3 linked regions of the Struthio camelus genome follow. The protein of the gene in region 2 purifies or fractionates together with the protein of the main gene of each other region. This does not show direct contact. Links are inferred from orthologs where the notes say so. Each region holds a gene or a part of one and is shown on either strand. Other genes may lie near its edges. The genes, in order: ENDOG, DNAJA2 and LLGL1.

What was found.
Region 1: the proteins of DNAJA2 (region 2) and ENDOG purify together in Homo sapiens (affinity purification with mass spectrometry; 3 studies listed by BioGRID and IntAct, with this or other methods). This does not show direct contact. The link is inferred for Struthio camelus from reciprocal best matches to the Homo sapiens genes DNAJA2 and ENDOG.
Region 3: the proteins of DNAJA2 (region 2) and LLGL1 purify together in Homo sapiens (co-immunoprecipitation; 3 studies listed by BioGRID and IntAct, with this or other methods). This does not show direct contact. The link is inferred for Struthio camelus from reciprocal best matches to the Homo sapiens genes DNAJA2 and LLGL1.

Annotation. Positions count from the first base shown.
Region 1 is NC_090961.1:7,200,177-7,208,179, forward strand, and holds ENDOG (endonuclease G, mitochondrial), read right to left. Parts: upstream 3,071-8,003; coding exon 2,561-3,070; intron 2,088-2,560; coding exon 1,978-2,087; intron 1,178-1,977; coding exon 892-1,177; 3' UTR 435-891; downstream 1-434. Other genes in the region: TBC1D13 (TBC1 domain family member 13), read right to left, coding at 7,598-7,663. UniProt on the Homo sapiens protein: Endonuclease that preferentially catalyzes the cleavage of double-stranded 5-hydroxymethylcytosine (5hmC)-modified DNA.
Region 2 is NC_090951.1:15,431,807-15,439,723, forward strand, and holds the start of DNAJA2 (dnaJ homolog subfamily A member 2), read right to left. Parts: upstream 3,049-7,917; 5' UTR 2,900-3,048; coding exon 2,822-2,899; intron 1-2,821. UniProt on the Homo sapiens protein: Co-chaperone of Hsc70. Stimulates ATP hydrolysis and the folding of unfolded proteins mediated by HSPA1A/B (in vitro).
Region 3 is NC_090956.1:3,659,933-3,666,920, forward strand, and holds the start of LLGL1 (lethal(2) giant larvae protein homolog 1), read right to left. Parts: upstream 3,059-6,988; 5' UTR 2,943-3,058; coding exon 2,862-2,942; intron 1-2,861. UniProt on the Homo sapiens protein: Cortical cytoskeleton protein found in a complex involved in maintaining cell polarity and epithelial integrity. Involved in the regulation of mitotic spindle orientation, proliferation, differentiation and tissue organization of neuroepithelial cells.

The sequences.
Region 1 (8,003 bases), on a different chromosome or scaffold from region 2:
GAATAAAATAGTATCAAAACTCACCTGCTTCAAAGGCTCTGTGCAAGTATCTTGATACAGAGGACGAGCACCCAGTCTGCAGCAATCCTGCACTCACAGCGCCGCTGGAGCCTTGTGGGCTTCAGGCCTTAAGAGTCTTAAGTCAGCATAAGGAAACCTGTTCCTGTTCCAGAGTTAGCCTGATGTCCCCAGCCTCCCTTTTAACTCACAGGCTTCCTCCCTCCAACAGCAGGAAGGGCTGGAGGTTCAGTTGGGCCTCAGAGCTAAAGTACATCAGTGCATCTTGTAACAGTTTGCTCTAACTATGAGGTCTTAAACTCTACTTACAGTTGAGATCAAACAAGAAAACAGCTGGAGAAGCTGGCTCTGTCCTCCCCCTTACTCTTTAGACACGCAGGGCTTTGGTAAGAGCAGGTAAGAAACAGTCAATACCCTGAGTTTTCAAAGCTTTACTGCTAAAACCATCTTCTGAAATAAAACAGTGTATGATCCTTTGGCCACAGAAAGGCAAGGGTTTCCCCCATCTCCCCTGTACCGATTTTGCACCTATCGTTCCCTGCCAAATATCTGAAATTAAACAACTTCCCTTTGTGTCTTACTGAGCCACACACCTCAACGTTTTACAGAGGTATCCTTGGTACTGCAGTTTAGGGGCAAATCCTGGAGATGCTACGATGGTGTCAAGGGCTCAAGAGCCTCCTGTAGGGCCTGCCCCAGAGACTGGCCTCGCACATCCATTTCAATATTGCATGAAACTGGAGGAAGGGCAGAGAGAAGCACTGATTTGACTCTTAATTTTGCACATTTAAAATTGCACAAGGAAATATGTTTCTGCTAACTACTGCTGTCACAGTCCCTGCCAGAGGATGCCTTGATTTGTTTAGTCAGGGTTCAACGCTTGTTCCCAGCTGTGATGGCTTTTAAATTATTTGTCCTCTTCAAGATGTTAGGGACAAATAGGAGCCCTGAGGCCCGCTCAATGCTCTCAATGGGAACCAAGAATCGTTCAAGGGGGATGTTCTCATCCACAGGGCTGTTGGGCATCACGTAGGAGCGCAGCTCAATCTCTCCACTCTCCTTCTCCAGGATGAGCACCTTGAAGAAATGGGTTGGGACAGCCACATTGTTCTTCCCAATCACCTGGTATTTGACGTACATCTTCCCATCTGCCTCCATCCTGCACCAACAGCAATGACCTGTTACTGTCACCTCCTGGCCTGGTTCCACATCTACCCTCTCAGCCCCCCCAATCACCACCCTTAAGTGAGTCCCCCTCCCAACATGGCAGAGGGCACCCCTGCATCTCCAGTAGGGATGTAAACACGTTGTTGAAGCAGAGGCTATGGAATTGGTGAGGTTGAGCAACGTATCGGATCTGCTCCTCCAAATCCCTTCTCCGTTGCCTCAATTAACGGCCTTCCCAAGCTGTTTGCTGCTCCTGAAGAGATCTCAACTTGTGGAAACTGCTCTTCACAGTGCTATGAATGATCCTTGCAAATAAAGTTATGCTCTCAAGAGGAAAACTAGACTACGAAATAAAACCTAGAAGCTTTATACTACAGCAAAGGGCTAATGCCTCTGCAGGCTAATGTGCAGTCTAATACCGCTTTATTGATTACTAAAGACTGCAAATAAAAGCCTTACATTGTATCTCAAGAAAGCAGTACTAGAAGAGATACCACAGTTCAATTACGGCAGCTAGACAAGAGCCACAGAGCTGAATTCTGCCTGGGAGAGGTCCCACTACCTACTCCTGAAATAACCTACTACATTGGAAATAAGCAAACTGATCCCACCCCTAAGAAAGTACCTGTCCACAGGCCCTCTGCACACAGCTGGACTCGCTTACTGAACTGGGTCTGAGCACATCACTTCTGTTGGGGGGCACGCTCAGGAAACTGCAAACCCTCGGCCTTGTTTCATTCTGTGGCATGATGCACCTCTTGAGCGCGGTCCCAATACGGCCTGCATATTTACCTGGGCAGGAAAAGAGGACCCGTGCAGACGTACACGTTCTTGTTCTTCCTAGCCAAACTTCTGCAGTACTTCTCCAGGTTATTCCAGGCGTTCTGGTTTAAATGGGGAACCTAGCAACACAAGCAGGACATCGCAGACAGGCAGGTCAGTCACCAGGGGATTTCCTCATTGTTCCAAGTTTTCTTAATAACAACACACAATTTTTGCATTACATCTCTCAGCAGTGCCCTGAGCACTTTACAGAAGAGGCCAGGACCGTCATCTCCACTCTGGGAGCTGTGTAAGGAGAGGTCCTAGTTTGCACCCCAGGACCAGCCCCACAGATTTCAGGCCCTCATTTTTGTGAGCAGCTCTCTCTCTGAGTATTTAACTTTAATCCTGCAACGTGCCGTGCTGAAGTAAACCAGGGTCTTTCTAATGGCGAGAGAGGTGTGCAGGCAGGTGCGTCTGCAGGATCAGCGTCTCAGCTTAGCACAAAACACAGCACCCCCGAGTGAACTCAGTCACTTTAGTCCCCCTTTGTCTGAACTGCTACGGAGCCAAACACACGGACAAGGTACAGCCAGGGACGGCGGGGCCCTACCTGCGGGGCGACGTTGCTCAGGTAGAAGGTGTCCCGCATGGCCTTCTGGCTCCACTTGTGGTTGGCGGCGGCGGCCAGGTGGCCGCGGTCGAAGCCGCTGCCGCGGTAGTCGGCGTTGGTGGCGCGGTGGTACTCGTGCACCGAGTCGTCCTCCTGGAAGTCGCAGGCGGCGCGGTCGGAGGCGCCGCTGAGCGTGTCGCGGTTGAGCTGCTCGATGACCCAGAGCGCGCTGCGGCTCCGCGGGTCGTAGCACAGCACGTAGGACTCGCGGCTCCGCACCTGCGCCAGCCCCGGCAGCCCGTACTTGGCGAGCTCGGCGCGGCCCGAGCCGGCCGGCTGCGGCGGCGGCGGCCCGGCGGCGGCCGCCAGCGCGGGCACCACGGGCAGGCGGCCCAGCAGCCCCGTGCCGCCGCCGGCCTCGCCGCGCTGCCCCCGCGCCGTGAGGGCCGCGCCCAGCCCGGCGCCCAGGGCCAGCGAGGCCCCGGGCAGCAGCCAGCGGCCCCGCGCCATGGCCGCCCCGGCGCGACGCGACTCAGGACGGGCGGGCCGAGGCCGGGGTCCGCGCAGGCGCAGGAGCAGCCTGGGCCCACCGCCGAGCATCGCCCCTTTAAGGGCTGGAGGGCGCCTGGCCGCCCGGCGGCTCCCGGACGGAAACATCTCCCACGCCCGTGTGCAAAGAAACCATTTTATTAGGACAAATCAGAAAACAGCGTTAAACGAGCCCACGGGTCACGTGACTGAAGCTCATCGGAGCAGTTACAAACATAAAGAGCAGAGGAAGTTAATAAACCAGCACAGGCCGCTCGTTCCCTCCTGCAGCCGGAGGCTCAACGCTCGCCCCAGCCCGAGCGCCCGCCACCGGCCGCCCTCAGCAGCTAGGGCGGGCCCCCCTGCCAGCAGGGCCCCCTCCCAGCCCAGCTCTCGCCCTCCCTTCGCATCGGAGCTGCCGCAGGCCGCGCCAGGGCTCTGCGCTGGTCTCCCGCCCCGTCAGAGGATTCACAGTTGCGCCGTTACCTTTGCGTTATTCCTTGAGAAAAGCCAACGCTCCCCCAACGCTTCCCGGTCCCAGCCTGCGCTGCGGCTCTGCAGGACGAGGCAGAGGCGGGCTCAGCGAGGGCGAGCAAAACATGACACCCGTGCCAAAGAAGAGGTGGCAGTGGAAAGAGAGGAGCTCGTGCGTGCAAACCTGTAAGGTACTGCAGGGCTCTCACCTGCCGCAGCGTGCTTCTGCTGACGGCCAACTAGTGCAAGGTCTCTTGGTTCCTCCCAGTCACTATCGACGAGGGCACTGAGAAATACTGTAGTTATCACGAGTAGCAGCATTAACTCCAAGCTCAACAAGGTGAGTCACATCACCAAGAGGAGATATTTGCACAAAGCCACCGGTTTAGCTAAAGGAAGCTTTTCCAAAAAAAAAAAATATATAATATATATATATATATATATATAGTGTTTAAAAAGAAGGCTAAAAGAAGGAGTTTGAGTGATGAAATGTTCTCTATACCATGTTCTGACACAGTTATTTCCAGCCAACATAAAAAGTGTTACTTTGAAAAAACACCAGATTTGATGCTCTCTTTTTCTGGGAAAGGGCATTTTAGGCTAAAAGGTGCAAGGCTAAAACAAAATCACTGATACTCATTGATGGAATATAGCCTCTGTTTTCCCAAATACCCCAGGCTCCCCTAAAGCAGCTTATGACCTTCATTCCACTCACTGCCAAACTGTGAGTAATTCTCCATTACGTCACAAAATTCAAACTCAAAATCCATGTTCTGAGCGATCACAACTAACTACTTCATTTCTCTTTTCCCGTTTCTTCTACCTTATCGTCAGAGCTACAAAATTTCCAGAGGCTTGAATTACAGCAAGGTGAAAGAAGGGTGGAGCAGATCTTTTCCTCATAAGGACGGACCATCTCTCCCCCCACCCAGCATAGTTTTCTATTTTTCCTCCCAGGAAAGGGTCCCCCTTCCCCTGGCTGGCAGTAGTCCTGCCTGTGCAGAATGCTTAGTAAGAGCTCTTTACGCTTCCCTTATTTAGGGCCCTATAAAGCAAGGGGTCCTCAAGACGCTGGGAAACGCTGCTGCAGCCACTCTTGTCTCATCCCTGATCTGCTACAGGAGCCGCAAGTCAGAGGTGGAATGGTCTCAAGCGTGGAGCAGCTGCTACTTGGCCACTCAAGCAAGGAACCACCCCCGGCTAGTTAATACTGTCCGACCTCACAAACCACTAACAGCCTTGAGGAATGAAGCCAAGGTAACCCCTCAGGAGAATCAAAAGCTTTTCTCCCCTCAGAAAATGCACTTTTGCCCTTAAGGAAAGGTACAAGTCTTGGAATAAAGAAATGGAAGTTCCAAACCATTGAAAAGTAGAGTCATTCCTTTCAAAGTCCTTTTCAGTAGCAGAACAGAAGTCCTATCGCACAGGAGGAGATCAGGAGGGACACAAAAGAGCTTTTCATGTAGGAACTGGCCTGACTGGGCATATCAAAGTTAGAAGCTTTCCCCAAAGAGCTCAATGAAATCAAGCAGTTCAGCAGCCACAGGCCTGTCTGGCTGAGGCTACTTATCCTAGAGGGCCTTTCCAACAAGCAAAGCTCCCTCCTCACTGCAGACTCCCTTTAAAAGCATTCGCCATCACCCCCTAAAGATGAACAGGAGGGCATACTATAGACCTTCAAACCCAGGAATGGAAAAGGCTGCGTGCTGCCTGTAGCCAGACTGCTACTCGAGTAACCACCTCCCTGCTATCTTCCCTCAAGTGTTTGTAATGCTAGAGTCCGACACCTGAGTCGGAGCTGGGGCAACTCCACTGCAGTGCAAGTCAACCTCAGGGCCTAAATGCCACTCTGAGAACAAATAGAAGTTCATCTGAAAGTAGTTTTAATCCTGACTGACCTGCTGCCTCTTCAGGTTATTTAAAGGAGACTTCTAGACATTCAGAGGAGGAACCTTTATGGATGCTCCTGTTAGCAGTGAAAAACCACAGCACTTACTAGGGGGACCTGAACTGGAAGCCCAGGTATTCAGGGAGGTGAGAGCCAAACTTGTGCGTGGAATGTAAGAGAGCAACAATATTTACAGCAGTTCGGAGGCAGAAGCATTTTGTAGGAGGTCCAATTCTTGGGGGAAAAAATCTACCCTCCAGAAAGGACAACAGCACAGAGGGATACCGTTAGCCACAGGTATTAGCTACAGATTGTTTAAATCTTTAGTTGCTCATGCTCCACCACAGGAGCAACACCTGGCTGCACCTGTGTCACTAGAGCATCTTCCGAAGAGTCAGAGAAAAACTGCTTGGGAACAAGAACATAAGAACGTGTTTCAAGCTGTCCTCTGATCTCCTCACTCATCCTTGTGAAAACTACAGCAGGCTGTAAAGAACTGGCCTTAGGTGAAGGAAATAACACTAGTACAAAAGCTGAAGGCTGACAACATCCCTCTTGCTAGGGGCATTTTATGCCATCAGCAGCGTAAGCAGATCTTAGAAAGTACAAGACTGACCTTTAACAAATCAGTACCCATAAATACAGAAAAATGCAGTGTCAAACAGCTATGCAGAGGTGAGCTAGCACAGCACAGAAAGAGAGAGTAAAGCATGCTGGATTAGTGTTCACTCAAGAGCTTCTGCACAGTCAGAGCACTTGGGTGCTCTCCCTATGAAGGGGATTATGGTTTCTGATCAATCTGACATTCCTGCGGGTTAACATTTCTCCCTGTATCTTGTCGTAGTCAATGTTCACCTAAGCCTGCTCCACTGTATTTGAAATGCAACAGTTTCCCTCTCAAGAGGGACAAACATCCACTTCAGGACAGTCACTCCAATAGGACTGGTACACAGAGAAGTGGACCATCATCCCCAGGACTCAGCTAGTGACTGAAATGCTTGTGACCCCACCGGATTACACCAGAAAAAGACATGGTACAGGTCTGACCTAAAAGCAAAAGCCTCTTTCTGGCAAGTACTGTTAGACAATTTCAAGGTTACTGTGACCACAGCTTAGGCAGGGCAATATTATGCAAGTCACTGAGGCAGAAAACCCCAGCCTCCTGCCAGTATAAGCCCCTAAATACAGCTGTCTTCACAGCGTGTGACTAGAGGCCCATTTCTTGTGTTTCAGAATCCTGATTGTAGCTGGATATCCTCCAGTTCAGAGCTGGGAAAGCAGTATTGCTGCTGCTGCTGCTCACAGACAGCTAGAGGTCTCAGCCTCCCTGCAGCGACAACCTCCTGCTCTAAGGCTGTGCGTAATAAGGCTCGACTTAAATCAAACTACACTTCCCTCATTGATTAAAACCACCATAGTCTATCTTTCAAGGAGACCTCGTTGATAAGGCGATTCTGGATTCAGGCAACTTCAGTGCACAAAGCAGCCAGCTGTAACTGTGTCCAGCCATCTCAGCTTTTCAAGGTCTCTTTCCCATGCGATGGAGTCCAAACAGCTGGATGTTAGATGACACTCACCAGAAGCTGATGCAGCCTTCCTTTTTGCACATCCCGGTAATGGCTAAGTGCAGACACGAAGGAGAAGAATCCAGAAGCTACGTGAACGGCAGGATGCTTGACTTCAGTGGGATACATTCTATTTACAGGAGAAAGATCCTTCTACACTCACCCACCAACTTCACTGGATCCACCCTGTCCCTTCCTCATCAGAAGTTACTCCACGTGAGCATACTTCCATAATGCAGAAGGATTTCATCCCACAGGACTTGAGGGATATGCCGATAGATGGTTTCTTTCTCCTCAGACTTAAAGTCATTAAAAAAAGATACAAAGAACTGCTTTTGGCAGTACGGAGGCATTTGAGATTTGAAAAATATGGAGTGCAGGACCCAAGTAGATGGGGAAGTAATCAGTCCTTGACCTAATAAATAGAGTAGAAGGAAATCTTCAAGGTAGCTAGTTGCCAAAACACAAAACTTGAAGTCCTGCAGAGACCCCTAGGAGCTCTAATGCACCACACCGTACAGGGGCATCTCCTAGGATCCACTGACATGCAATTTCTCTGACACCTTTTGTCAGGCTCATGGATTATTTGGAATCCTGAAGTTCCTTTGCCTTCTTCAAAATCAGGTGAACATCAGAGATAGGATAATCCTGCGTCAAAGAAACAAAGTGATGTAAGTGCCCCCTTAGCATTCCTTGCGCACGTATCGTTCCATCCAAGCAGGGCAAACTTTGACAGTGGCATTCTTGGCCACACTGACTAACACCCCTAAGCTTGAAGTTAAATATTATTATCTTCAGTTACTCCTCTAACAGCTACTTGTTTCCTGGTTCATTTTGTAACTGATCAGCCCTGCATACCCTTCAAGAAGGTTTTTTATTTCTCCTCCAAGGGTATAGCTAAGCTGGCTTGATACAAGCACTATCTTCATGCCAGAAAGCCTTATCGAAGCCAGTACCTTGCACAGCCCAAAGGAGGAACTGGCAGAAT
Region 2 (7,917 bases):
AGGGTCTTCTTTTTAGTAAGAAAATCTTAATAAAACAAACAAAGTGAGAAAAAGAGCGTTTTGAAATCACTCATACATCTAAGTTTTATTTGAAATACCTGATTCTACTGTATGCACAAACAACACACTCTTGGATTTAAACACAACTATACCACACAATAGCTAGAATTAATCTTCCTGCTTCTCTTCATTAACTTAGGTGAAAAAATATATTGGAATACGCACTATATCATTAAAATTACTTAACTATGTAAATCACCCAAAACCTATAATAAGACAATCTAAGTTTCAACCCATTTGTGCCTCACCTCAATTTCAGCAATATATTAACAACAAAATGGCTGCCATAGCTTCTCAACCAACCCTATCAGTTGATCCCCATAAATAATCAATTTATTCTTCCTTACCTATCAATAAAGGAAAATTTCATCTCACTCTAAACTAAGTATGTGTGTTACACATGCAGAAATACACAGACCGGTCCATTTGATGCAATTCCATTGTTCTAAAGCAGCCGGAGGAATAAATACAGCCAAATCCCCAAAAGAGAGTTTTCAAGATGTTTTTTTGACCGGTACTTTGCAACTCCCAGCATCATCATTTTTTTCCTACAGCGGTACTTCACCTATTCTCCTTCCAATTTGGAGGACTGAAGTAAATGCAACTGAAGATACTTTTATGTTAGTTATGATGGACAGTCAAAAGCTTTTCCTCTGGCGTTTTTGAGGGTAAAGTGCTAAACTCTCCCCCCACTCCACTCCAGCATCCCCCAATAACAACCAGAGGATAGATATTAGTAAGTTAATCACATAACATTAAAAAAAAAACCTTGATTTTTGCACCGCACATATCAAAAGCATGTTAGCTACAACGACCTACAAATGTGACTGCAAACTGAAACATTCCAGTTCTTACAGTGGATTTTTTAAGCAGCTCTTTTCTTGCTTAATCGAACACTTAAATTAGCTCTTTAAAAACCACAGCTTTAGGGGAGCTTTACAAAAAGGGCTTCATAGAGATCACAACTTCCCATTATGTTCTGGAACAGGTAAAATTACTTTTTTTTTTTTTTAATATTTTTGACAGTCACTCCTCTTTACTGATGTATCTTGAAACACCCAGTGCTTGTGCACAGATTCAAGGAAAAAGGTCAACGATAAAAAGCAACTAATGAAATAAAAATAGAACATCGATACTATAAGCCTAATATTCTAAAATACTCAAAGAAGAGTAAAGAACAAAATCAAGTCTTACTAGCAGTAAGAACACATAACCTTACATAAGCATGTGTATTCTGTAACAAAAATGGATTTTCTTTGCATATTTTAAGGCTTTTAATCAAGAGGGGGAAAAAAGCCTATTCTTATAACATTATCAAATCAGGTACAAAGAAGTTTGCCTAGTAATCTTTAAAAAGGGAGAGAGCTCATGTCTTTGTTAAGGAGCATAACAGTTTAGAGCAACCCTAAGACCGGCCATGGCCTAACACTGAGCTACCATTATCAGTTAACCAGAAACAGATCCAGAATCAAGATCTATACTGGCACTGTACTGTAGCTTCTATTATCTTCCACCTATTTTATTTTCTCTTTTCTATACTTTTGTACAGATTAAAATACCAGATTAAGACGTTACGATTAAGACGTTAAGACAACGTCCAAACAATTTCTCAGTGACAGTAAGATACGGTTGAACTTCTCACTGCTGCAGGTAGTTGGAAAGTTTGCTATTGCAATACCTTAAACTTAACCTTGGTATGTAAGTAATACTGAGCAGCACAGGTTACTTCAGTGGAAGAAAACAATTGCTGCCATTTCTTCATTCTTACAAGAAACAAGATATTTTTAACAGACTTCAGTTAAATAAAACACTGCTCGATTATATTCAATAACATACAGCAGTATCTTCTTACCGCATGCTTACCACCTCTAACACTATTTCAACACTGCGATTGCCTATCCCTGAACAAATTAGGCTACCACATGCATGATGGGTAAAACATAATTGTTAATAGCAGCACCACCCATCAGCAGAAGCAGGTCACTGCTAGTAAACTGCCTAGTTAACCACCATTTACAAGTGAAAAAGGATAACAACGTCCCTTCGGAAAACGTGGTTTATATATTAGAGAATGAAGTGAAAGGGATGCAATAAATTATTACACTGACAACCAGGCTTACAGTTTTTACCTCATTTCTTTGTCTTACCTTAGTGCTTTCAGCCTAAAAGGAACTAAATGAGCGAGCAAAGTAGAACCTTAACGAGGCTTGTAAGTGCCTCAAACAATGGCCCCAAGTCAGAATCTACTGGTTCCTCACTAGGATTTTCCACCCGAAAAGCCTTCTGCCGCTTGCGAACATGGCTCCGGGGCGGCGAAGGGAGACGGGGCTGCGGGGGCGAGAGGCGCGGGGTCTCCCGGTGGGGCCTACAGGCAACGGGGAGCCCTGGCGACACCGGGCCGGGGCACCGGGGCGGGGGGGGAAGGCTGGGCCCTGACGCCGGCCCCCCTCTCCTGGGGGCCTGCCCGCGGCCTACCCCGCTCCACCAGCACGCCAGGCCCCAGCGGCCCCGCGGCGCGGCCTAGCCCGGCGGCTCAGGCAGCACCGGGCGCCTTCCCCCGCCGCAGGCCTCAGCCGCGCCGCCGCAGGCGGGCCGCGCTCGCCGGGGCCCTCACCGACACCGGGCCGGGCCGGGCCGGGCCGGGCCGGGCCACCCCTCCCCCCCCGCGGCGGCGGCGGTGCCGCCTCGCGGCCTCGCGCCCGCCCCTCCCCCACACCGCCGCCGGTCTCGGCGGGCGCTGCCCGCCGCCCCCTCCCCGCACCTTCTTCAGCTCGTTGTCGGAGGCCCCGGGCGGCACGCCCAGGATATCGTACAGCTTGGTGTCGGCCACGTTCGCCATGGCGGCGGCGGGCGGGCGGCTCGGGCCGGAGCAGGCCGAGGGGCGGCGAGGGCGAGACCGGGAACAGGACGCACAGACGCCCCGCGTCACGTCACCACGCCGCGACGCGCGCACAGCGCGCCCGCCCCTTCCACCCGCGGCCCCGCCCCGCCCCCTCGGCCCCGCTTCGGCGGCCTGACCCAGTTCCGGCGGGGCGCGGCAGGGGGCGCCCGCGCGGCCGGGGGGGGGGGAAGGGGGGAAGGGGGGCTCGCGCCCCCGCCCCCGCCCGTAACCGCCGCCCGTAACCGGCGCGGGGACGCTGAGGCGGGAGCGGGGCGGGGGGCGCGCGCGCAGCAGCGGAGACGCGCCGCCTCCTGTCGGCAGAGCGGGAACCTTCCCCCCCCCCTCACCCCCCCCGCCGTCTTGAGGTCTGACCCGGCGTCGCCGAGAGAGAAGCGAGTGTTTTAAAGTAGAGCAACATTCCCGTGTCGTTTTGAAGCCTGACGCTCCAGCGCTCGTGTGTGCCTCCTTCCCTGGGGCCGCTCGCCCGGTGTGATTTCTTGCTCTTGAAATATGTCCCTGAAGTTTATGGGGTGCTGGTGGGCCAACCTGACCTCTAACCGCAAGGACCGATATATTTTTCTTCAGGGACACGTTGCTAAGGCTTTGGTGGATATAAATAGTGTTACCCATCTGCACCTTTTTGTTTGTTTTTGCTCTGTTTCTGCAATCTTGGAAAAGCACCAGGCCTATCCTGAGTCATTAGAGCAAAGCGTACACCAACTGCGCAGAGGACTTGAGGCCCTAGCTAGAGGCAGCTTTCAGCGCGCAAGCGAAAAGCCTGGTTGTGTTTAATCGGAGGTTTGCCTCTCGCGGCCCCGTGAGGGGAGCAGCTCCTCAGGTGTGGCCCCTCGGCCCCAGCTCAGTGGCGGAAGGCTCTAGAAGCCGCTGCAGGTGGCGGTTGGTTGGGTGGGCAGGTGGGCCCCTGTGATGGGGGGGGGGAGAGGGAGAGGGAGGCAAAAATGCCTTGCTGGGCTGTGGTGGGTGAGCCCCAGGTGCACTGGGAGAGGGCCCTGCTGAGGAGGAGGTGAGCGAGGTGTGGGGAGAGCCTGCTGGCAGTGGGTTAGCGAGCCGGCCTGGAAGAGATTCATGGACTTGAGGTGTTGAAATCTGAATAGGCTCCTTGCTCTCGGGGAGCCGATCTGAATGCGTCCTTCCTTGTCACCTGAAGGAAGGCTAGTAGAAGTGGCCTTAGTCTCCTGTTGCAGTTTGTGGCTGTATTAGGGAATGCAGCTTGCTGGTGATTTCTCAGCTCCTTCCCTAACTGGTGCTTAGCAAGCCCTGAATTTCATTATTGTTCTTATTAAGTCTGGCATAATCAGGTTTGGTAGATCATGCCTCTGGTATTGCAGGTGTGTCAGCAGTCAAGAACCTCAAAGGGAGACAAAGATGAGCTTTGGAGGGAGAAAAAAAGTGGCAGTGAGAGAAAAGCCATTGGGAAGACAGTCGCATAGACTGTATTTATTACTTGCGGTCACAGGCATATAGAAAGAAAGAAAAAAAAACTTAAGAGGTGCGTCTCTAGTGTTTTTGGAGGCTGTCTGTGCTGCCTCTGGTAACTGCATGGTTTAACATTTGTGCTATAGTTTCATTGACTTGTGCCTTGCACTGTTTGGATCCACCTTTTATTTTGGCAAGGCTGAATTCAGACTTGCTAGCTACTCTAGGAGCTGTCTGGCATGCCTACCTGGTTTGTTTGCATTGTATTGCCTTGTAGATTGATGCGCTGCTAGAAAAGAATTTCTCTTCTACAGGATTTTCTCATTAGTAGGGCAGTCGGGATGGGTTGTCTGCTGTGAAGAAAAATTGTGAGTGTGTGCGGAAGGACTTATTTGCCCTATAAATCAGACTGAAAATCTTAGGAGTTAGACAGAATCAGAAGGAATGATATCAGAAGCATTTAAAATACCATAGGATGCTATTCACCTGTGTTTTTTGCATTTTAAACATATCTAGATGTCGGACAAGGTGAGCTGGCTCAAAGCAGTGGGGTGCTAGTCATGTCTATGCCTGCAGGGATAAAGTTAACTAAGTGTGATTCAGCCCAAACTGACTTGTCCTGTGAGCTGAGTGGCTCACTTGCAACTCAGGCCAGAACATGATCCAACCAATAGATGGGTAGTGGGAATGCTCGGTGAATTTGGTGTATTGGCTTGCGCCCAAACTAATGTGGCAGTTTAGAAACAATCTTTGTATGTCTCTTCTTCTTTACTCAAATGTCGTTGTTGCTATGGTCCCATTTTATATCTTGCATTACCAAATATCAATATGCTATGTAGTCCAAATGCAACTACATAGAATAAGTAATGAGAAAACCCCTCGGGGATGAACTTTTAGATTTATTTTGAAGAGGAACTAAAGAATCAGAAGCTTGAATGGTTATATTTTTGTTAAACGTAAGCACAGATGAATAGCCAGGTAGAGAATTTCTTTCTCCCACGTTCCCCTTTTAGCATCTATTCATGAGTTATACTGACAGGACATGTTAGGTGCTCAAGTGATGTGTTATGCCCACTCTTTCCCCCCCCCTTAACACTTGCACATGTTATTACCTTTGTTTTGGTTTGTATGTTTTTTTTCTATTCCTGTATTATTTTCCTCCTCCCTGTGAAAACTTCATTTAATTTCTAATGCTATTTATATTCACACATCACGATGAAAAGCTGGTCTGTTTAAACTACGGCAGTTGCTATATGAAGAGGTTTTTTTGTTTATTTTGTTTTTTAGTAGCCTGCACAGTTCTCAGCTCTTCAAGGTATTATTTTGGCCTTACACAAGCTCCGGCTTGCTCCAGCCAGCTGGTTCACTGCTGTGCAGGAAAAACATCCTGCCTGCCCCCTGCCCGGATCCTCCTGACCCACAGAAACAGGCTTGAGCCTTATGGGACAAGATTTGGTTTGTTGTCCTGCTCCAATTGCAGAGATCAAACTTAGGGCTGCTTGACAAGTGCCCCCAGGTAGCACTGATCATTTACTTTGAGTACCTTATTATTCCTTTTTCCCTTTCCTGACCCTCCTTTTTGTTGTCCGTGTGCTTCCATTTTGCCACCCCAGTCGTCTTCCAGATAAACACCTCGCTCCTAATTACTTTTTCCCCATTGGTCTGAGTTTTGCTACATTCCAACCTAGACTTGGTATTTTTGATATCGTTACCTAGATAATCTCAGCATAATATGGCATTACTAGTTTGGTTTCCTTGGTGCTGTTCGCCTTGCGTAACCGAATTCCCTAAAAGGTCCTTAGTAGTCCCCTCCAATTATCTGTCACATTTGGCCGTTTCTACCATAGCTCCCCTTTAACCATCTGTGAAATCCAGCCATTCTCACAGCACTCTCTGTAACTTCTATGGGTGTCTTACACTGTGATTTGTCATGTTATTTACGGTAGTTTTCTGCATTTCGTTCAGTTAGCTGAATCTCAGGCCAATGCAGAGTTTGTGGCCCTGTCATTTGCGTGCAACTGTAATAGAACATCGCTAAATAGCTGATAGAAAATCAATAGTAAATCAATAGTAAATATATACTTCTAACTGAGGTTTTGTTCTTTTTTATTTTTATAGATAAATATGTAAGTGCTATACAGTTTTCTGCTCCAAAGTGGATGTGCACATCAGCAAATAGGGGAGCATAAGCAGTTAGTATTGTAGCAAGCTCAAAAGGCTGTATACTGTGTCAATCTGTTACTGGGGAGAGATTGAGGGATCTTCCTTCCAAATTAGCACGAGGAAGGGCTTATGGCATTCCATGTTTTTAAAAGCGAAGTTATTCAGGCAGTTGGGCTCTACTATGTTCTTCTATCTGAAGGGTACATAACAAATCTTTCTTGCAAATGAAGTGTTATAGGTACTGTTTGGATTTTCAGGTGATTTTGTTTGTTTTGTAACTCAAGGAGTTTCTCCTAATGTAAATGTTTCTGCCTGCTTGCAGACTCTGCTGCCAAAGGTCACAGAGCTCCCAACAGAAGTCACATTAGTAACATGGGAGAAGGGATTCTTTGAGTTTCCTGCTAATTGTTCATCACACAGAAGTCTCTCTTAACAGTTTCCAGGGCTATGGATAGGTTGTCTTTTTGAGGATGGGGGGGAGAGGGGAAATCAGAACATCTTCAAAGAAAATTCAGCAACTTTAACTCTTTTTTTTTTTTTTTTTCTTCCCAATAAACTCTTGGTCAGCTAGCTGCCTCTGTGGTGCAGAGCAAGGTAGGTTGAGAGTTTCAAAGCTACAGTTTGTCATACAGTTTCTGAGCTAACGTTACAAAGTGCTGAGTTGGATCACCAAGCTGTTTGTTATGGTCCTGTAGCAAGATGAAAAGCTTTTTTTTCTAAGCTCTGGAGAACGCTCAGAAGGATTGTTATTATATTCTGTAGTAAGAGCTGGTTGAATACAGCAGAATATATGCATTATGTGTACACACACGTACACACACACAAAATTTCCTTCTTTCCCCTCCTTTTGGGTAGCTGTTATTTGCAACCCAGATCATTAATTTATTTGTAACCATTGTACTATGCAAATTCTTCATACAAATTGGGAACGTGCTGTTTATTCTTACCTATGTCTTAACACTGGGTAAGCATTTAATGTGCTAAAATTCCAGCTTATTAGTCTAAGCATAATTTTGTTGTTATTTGACAGCTTTGTTATCTGTCCTATTTGTTTGGGTTTTTTTGTCTGGTGTTTCTCATCACGTGCTAAACCTGTATACTTTGGGGGGAATTTTTATGGTATGCAGAGCTTACTGCGATAGGGACTTGATACAAATACGGTATATAAATGTTAGTAGTAAGCAAAGGTGTTGTGAAAATTAGTTTGGATAAGGAGTCAAAGCATTAACTTTGAAACGAAGAAGTATTTGTTTTGAAACTTTTTTATTACCTTGTAAATAGATTCATTAAACGTTCTTGAATACTTGTGGGTAGTTTTCAGTTGGAAAATAACTATTTTTAATGCTTAGGTTATCCAGTGAGAGAGAAATAGCACA
Region 3 (6,988 bases), on a different chromosome or scaffold from region 2:
GGCAGCCAGCGTCCTGGAGTGCTTGGCCGGCCGGCACGGAGCTGCTCCCTGGCTGTTTCCGCTGCGGCCTGGAGACTCTTGTCTCCAACACCCGCAGGAAGAGCCCCTCCGAGCACAGACCTCCCAGGCAGCCCAGGGCTCGCGCCCGAGCAGGACCCCACTGCACAATCCTGCCGGCACAGCCCGCCGGCCCTCTTCCAGCACGCGGCTCGCTCGAGACGGATCCACAGAACTGAACGGGAGCCCCAGGCTTTGGTTCGAGCTCTGCCGGTGGCTCCCTTGGGACCACGCATGCCGTACCCGTCCTGCACAGCCCGTACGGCAGAGCCCGGACCACGCCACGTCCATCGGCTGCAGCCCGCCCTGGCCACGCTGCCCGAGGACAGGGTGCGAACGAGGGGGCTCCTCCTGCACGCACGGGGGTCCCCATCACCCTGTACTTTTCGGTGAGCTGCAAGCGCCCAGCCCATCGGCTGGGCTAGGCAAACAACGCAGCTATCTACTCCCGCTGCTGAAGGACACGCTGTTTGGTCTCTGCTCAGCTGGGGGCCGCTCCCGCTGTTTTCCTACACCTCAGGGTCATCCGATGCAAGGAGAGCCCTGTCCCAGCACCGCAGTGGGCTCAGGATGGAGATGCAGCAAGCCAGAGCCGGGCATCTGTCCCTAGAGCTGGCCGAGGGGCAGCAGGCCACGGCTAATGCTCAGCCCATCCCGCACAAACAGCAGATGAGCTGCAAAGCCGCGCAGGGGCCAAGAGATGCAGCCAGCAAACGAAGGCTCGGGAGGCTCTTCCTGCAGCCCTCCGCCAGCTGCCGGAGATATTTAGGCCGCGTCCTGCGACTAACGGGCCTGTATGCCAATCCTATCAAACCGAGTTAGCTCCAGGGGGTCTATTCTCTCAGCTCAGGAGCTTCACGCAGAGCTCATTAATGGGAGACTAAATCCTCATCATGTCTAGAGGAGCAGATTACACAGTCCCAGTTCCTGTACATCCCGTATGCCAGCGGGGAAAAGAGGAGGAAAGATCAGAGCCCCGTGTCCCCTCCGGCGCAACGCCAAGACGGGAGCCCCGCTGCGACCGCGTGGCCCTGCCCCAATCGGGGACCACCAGCGCCAGAGCAGACGTCACCAGCTGACATCCCAGGCAGGGGGCAGTTAGCGGGCTCGGGGGCACCAAACCCGGTCTGGGGAGCCCAGGGAGAGCAGACGGCAGCGGGTGCCCCCGGCGTCGGGCCACGCAGCTGAGCCTCGGCTCTCTGCAGAGCTCGCGAGCTGGAAGGAGGCGGCGATTCCCGGCGCGCCGGCCGGGCAAGAGGAGAGACGAGGCGCCCCGCAGGGATCCACGAGACGGAGAAGGAAACCCAGAGCGAGCGGAGGGCAGGGGAGGTCGGGAAACGTCCTCCCAGCCCTGGGCGGGCAGCTGCAGCCCGCTCTGCCTTGGCAGCGGCCCGGGTGCCTTCGGAGACAGCTCTCGGGATGGGACCTGGGCGTGCAGTCTCCCGAGAGCCGGCCGCACCTACGAGCTGCTTCCCAGCAAAACGGGGCTGCACGGAGCCCGGCACGGAGCCCGGCACGGCGGCCGCACGGGGCCAGCTGTGGCTTCCCAAGGCCACAAAACATCCCGTGGCGGCCGGGAGCCCGGGGACCGCGGGTGGACGTGCTGCTCCCGCCGCCGATCTCGGGGCGGCTTCCCCGCCGCAGCCCCTGAAAAGGTTAATTTTAAGAGCCCAGCAGGCTCGTTAAGGCTGCACAATAAAGAGACAGGAGCACAGGGGAAAAAAAAGCTGTAAATCTCCGCGACGCAGCTCTGCCCTTCAAGGGGGAGAGCGCCCGGCTCAGGCACCGGGGAAACTTTGGGCCTTTGATCCCCACCCCGCGGAGGCGGCTTCGGGGAGCGACCGGCCCCCGCCAGCCCCGCGGCCCCTTCGCGACGGCGGCTCGGAGCCGGAGCCCGTTTCCGCGTCGGGGCGGCCTGTTCCGCGGACGAAGCGGGGTGGGGGGCACGTCCCAGGCGCCGGAGCGGGGCTCTGCCCCCCGCGCGCGCTTTCGGCTGGCTATTGTGGCCGCGGCATCCCGGAGGCACGCGGAGCCCTCCGCGAGGGAAGTCGTAGAGCTCTCCCGCGGCGGGGTTTCGTGCCGCCGGGCCGGCCGGAGCGCCGAGCCGCGTCCCGGCTCTGCCCGCGCCGCCGGTCCCGGGCACCCAGAGTCTTGGGGGGGGAGCTGAGGGGAGAAGGAGCCGGGGAGGGGGACACCTCGCCGCTCCAGCACAGCCCCAAAGGGGATGCAAGGGACCCCCCCACCCCAGAGCTAAAAAGGGGGGGAAATAGGGGTGTCCCTCAAGGTTGGGGGGGCGCAGCCTGCCCTGGGGGACCCCCCACTCCTGAGGGAGGGCAGCCTGCCACAGGGGACCCCCCCACACCCCCTCCCAGGTGCATCTGCACCTCGGGGGTCCCCGTACGAGCCCCCCCCCCCCCGGGGTCACATCCTGCCCCATGGCAGTCCCATAGGCTGCACCTCGGGGGCTCCCCGATCCCCGCTCCCTACAGCCCCCAGGGGGGCACCCTGCCCCGGGGGGGGGGGGTCCCACACACACTGCCCCCCGTGCAATGCTCCCCCCACCCCCGGGGGTGCATCCTGCCCCGGGGGGCCCCGCATCGACCTCCCGGAGCGGGAGGGGGGGGTCCCGTGCATTGCTCGCCCCCAGGAGTTGCAGCCCGCCCGGGGCGTGCCACAGCTGCACCCCCGGGGGCGCGGGGCGGGGTACGGGCACCCCCGGTAGGGCCCGTGTCCCTGCAACCTCGGGGGGCGCCTCCCGTGCCCGGCACCCCCGCGGGGTGGGGGTCCCGGTCCCGCTGCCGCACCTTGCTGAAGGCGAAGAGGTCGTGCCGGAGGCGGTCGCGGTGCGGGTCGGTGCCCTGCCGCCGGAACCGAAACTTCATCATGGTGGGGCCGGTGGCGGCGGCGGCGCGGCTACGGGTACCGGGCGGGGCCAAACGGCGGCGGCGGCGGCGGCGGCGACAGCGGGCGCTCCCCCCGCCCCCCGCCCTAGCGCGCGCCGAGCCCCGAGCGCCGCGCGCCGAGCCCGGGCAGGCACCGCCGCGGCGGGGCGGGGCGGGGCCAAGCGCCCCCGCGCCGTGACGGGCAGCCCGCACCGCCAATCGGCGCCCGCCCGCGCCGCGCATGCGCCCGCCCGCCCGCGAGAGGGGGTTGATGGGAGTTGTAGTTCCCGCCCCTGGCCCGCCGCCCTCCCTGGGAAGCTTTTCCCCCCCCCCCCCCCTTCTTTTCTTCCTTTCTTTCTCTCTCCCTCTTTCCGCAGAGCCCCGGGGTGAGGCGGCCGCAGCCCGGCAGGACAAGCCCCCCCTCCCCCCACCGCCATTTCACCCACCGAGGCGTGCAGCACCGCGAACAGTCGTCGTTGCCGCCCGCAACACTAGTCACTAATTAACACAATTAATAATATTAAGGGCCGCAGCGGTCTTGTGGCCACGCTGGGCTCACGCCACGCCGGCTGCCATGAATCGCCACCCGGGGCCTTGGCCTCCCGGCTGCCAGGGAAGGGCCCAAGGCCCGGCCCGGCCTGGGGGCCCATGGCGGCCACGGGACATCATGGCCTCCGGGCCTCGCGGGCCACCCGGGGCCTGCGTGGGGACCGAGGGGGACAGGGCGGATCCCGCCAGCCCCTGTGTTGGGCATGTTTCCCCCTCCCACCCCACGCTGAGCCCAGCGCCGCTCGGGGGAGCAGCGGGAGCCACCGCGGGCCCCTTGGGGCCGCCTCGCCGCCCGCCGTATTAGTATTCGGGAGCCGTCACCGGCCGGCGGCCGATTGTCTCCGCGCCGCCGCTGGGCTGGCAAATGCCCCCCGCCGCCCCGGGCGCTGCTTCCCGGCTCCCGCGGCGGGGGCCAGCCGGGGCGCTCGCAGCTGGATTCGCCCCCAGCGGCTGTCCTCCCCGTCCCCGAAATGCCGGATGGGTGCCCGCTGCCCTGGCCGGCTTGCTGCCCCATGGCGCGGGGCACCCTCTGCTCGCTTCCCCCCGCCCAGGGGGCTGGGGACCTGCCGGGACACGGCCGCATCGGGCCCATCGAGCTGGAAGAAGGCTTTATGTTTCAGCGGAAATGAAATAATGAGAAGCAGCCGGGCTCGGAGCCGGGGCGGGGAGGGTGGGTCGAGAAGCAGGAGCCGGCGGCGAGGCGCGCGGGGATGCCTGCCGGCTCCGTCCTGCGCTGGCATCGCCCCCGGGGGCGGCGGGGGGCGAGCCGGCCTCAGCAGGGGGGAGCAGGGGGCGAAGCGGAGGGGGACGCGGGGAGCGGCGGAGGGCGAGGCGGCCCCGTGGGAGGTGTCACCCTGCCCAGCGCCACGGCGCACGGGGGTGAGTCAGGCGAGCGCCGTCACCCGGCGCAACATCAGCCGGGCAGGGCTGGGCCGGGCCGGCCTCCCCTCCCTGCTGACTAACGCTGTCCCGGGGCCGCACGGGCCAGCGCCCGAGACCCCCCGTGGCGATGCATCTGGGGGGGGGGTTCTTTGCCCATCGCTTCCCTGGAGAACCCGGGGCCGAGGCTGGGGCGAGCGGTGATGGCGCTAAGGGGGCTGGCGCTGGACAGCCGCCGAGGCCGGGGCTGCGCCGTGCCCCCGTCAAGGCCCTCGCGGCGCCGGCGAGGGCTCGGGAGCGAGGTGCCGTGCCCCGTGGCAGGGCGCTCCCGGACATCCGCCGCTCCGGGGAGGCCGTTTCCTTCCACAAAGGCGTCTTTGTTCGAGGGCGCTCCCGGGAACAGGCCGCCTCGCGCCTCGGTTCAGAAACGCTCGGTTAAGGACGGAGCCGTTGCAGCCGACGGGGTGACGTTGCGCCCGACGTGGTGACGACGACACGCAGGCGGCCGCCCTGGCCCCGCGAGGCCGGGGACCGTCCCCCAGCCACGCACGGCGCCCCGGGTGCCAAGCCAGCGCAGCCTGCCCAGCGCCGGCACGGCCTCCTGCCTCGTTTTCCCCTCCTCGCTGCAGCGCAGCGCCGGGATGCAATGCCGCGCCGCAGGCCCCGTCCATGCCTTCCCCTCCCCGGCGCTGCGCGGCCGCCCGCCGCGCTGCCATCTCCCTCTTGCGGGAGGAAGGAGCAGGGCAGGGCGGGCGAGGGGCCGCGCGGCCAGGCCGAAGCGCAGGGCCGCAGCAGCCCGGCCCGCCGAGGAGCCCGCACCCGTGCCTCCCGGCGGGGTGACCCACCGGTCGCGGCTAACGCGGCACGCGAAGGAGGGGGAATCCCAGCCCGCTGCCGGGACGGCTCGGCAGACCCCGCCGAGCCTTCCCGGCGAGGAGGCTGGGCGGCCTGCAAGCATCCCGGACGTGGGTTACGTGGCCAGGAGCCGGCCGGCCAGCGCTCACCACCCCAGGCCACCGAGCCGGGGTCCCGGCGGAGGCTGCTGCGGGGGGACCCTGGGCACAGGGGATCCCACCAGGCTCTGCTCTCACCCCAGCGGGCTGCAGCGCTCCGCTCCCGCCTCCGCACCGGCTCCAAGCCGTGGCAGGAGGGAGCGAAGCCAAGTCAGGCTTCGAGCCGGACGGGGCTGAGAGAACGGGGACAGCTTTGACTTTTGCTCCCTGCCGCTGTCGGTACTGACAGCAGGCAGGGGAAGACGGGGACAGGAGGGGACGCGAGCGCCTGCCACAGCTTTGTCCCCAGTTTCTAGGGCAGTGCAAGAGAAGTCGAGGAGACTTTGTATTTAAATGCCCCCCGTCCCCAAGGAGCTAGAGACTCCCTTTATTTAGAACCATTTCTCTGCGCCGCAACCTCTTTTCTGCCGCTGGGGAAGGGAGGCACAGATCTGAGCGCCGGGCTCCGCGACGCTCAGAGCCGGGCGTTACCTAAGCCAGGGGCCGAGGCGGCCGGGGAGAGGAAAGACACCGGTCCTGGGGGCGAGCCAGGCACCACCACGCAGGCAGGCAAGTGATGCTTTCTGCTTTTATTAATGCAGCAATCTATACAAGAAAAAAAAAAAAATGAAACCATGAAATTCCAAACCCTGACAGTGAAGAACCAAATTCTTCCTAAGAATCAACCAGAATTAAAAGATTCCCCCCACATCAGACTGTACATAAAATAATCTCTGCCCCATTTACAGCGTTTCACACAGTACTTCTTGTATCTCAAACTTCAGAACTGTACAACTTTGTTACAAACCACGCTTTTTCCTAGGAAAAGCTTACAGAAAAAAATATTGCCACTTTCTTTTTTATTTGTAACCAAAAAAATTAGAATCTTTAAAAAACAAAACTAAAGTCAGCCAGAACTTGTAAGTGTGGACAGGGGAGCGGGAAGGAGCAGACGTGCACTTCTCGGCCTAACATTCCTCCTCCCAACTTGAAAAGGGAACTGCATTTGGCATATAAAAGACTATTTGCCGCTAGAGGTGGGTCCAAACCTCTACATTCAGGCCCGGCTCTGAACCATCCTCAAAGCGTCGCAGCCGTTTAGACCTGTGGGTTTGGGCTCGGACCCCCTCCAGCGAGCACTATGCACAGCACGTACTAACAGCCTTAACGCCAACTCTGGCCCCAGCCTGGGAGCCGGGCCGACGCTTCGCAGGAGGAGCGAAGTCAGCTCGTGCCTGGGTCGCTGTTTGTTCAGCGCAGCCACCCGAACGGCTCACCCCGCGGAGCGAGTTCACAGCCTGGCAAATGAACAACCCTCCCGAGGGGAACCAAGCCTTTGGATTACAGCTCATGTGTGTCACAACTCTTATTTCACTAACAGCTGGATTAGAGTACAGCAGGTGTGGAGAGCCAGATGCGGCAACCGGGATTTTCCTGTTACATGCAATCTACCTAGACAAAGTTAAGTGGAAGCTGTCTCCAGGCATCTGGCAACCTCAGCAAAGCAGTCATCTGCTTACAGACTCGAATCTAAAAGCCACTCCCTCGGCCAGCTCACCCCTCTACAGCGGCAAACAGCCCTTCCTTCTCTGGCAATGGACCCGTCAAGCCCACACAACCAACTCGAGA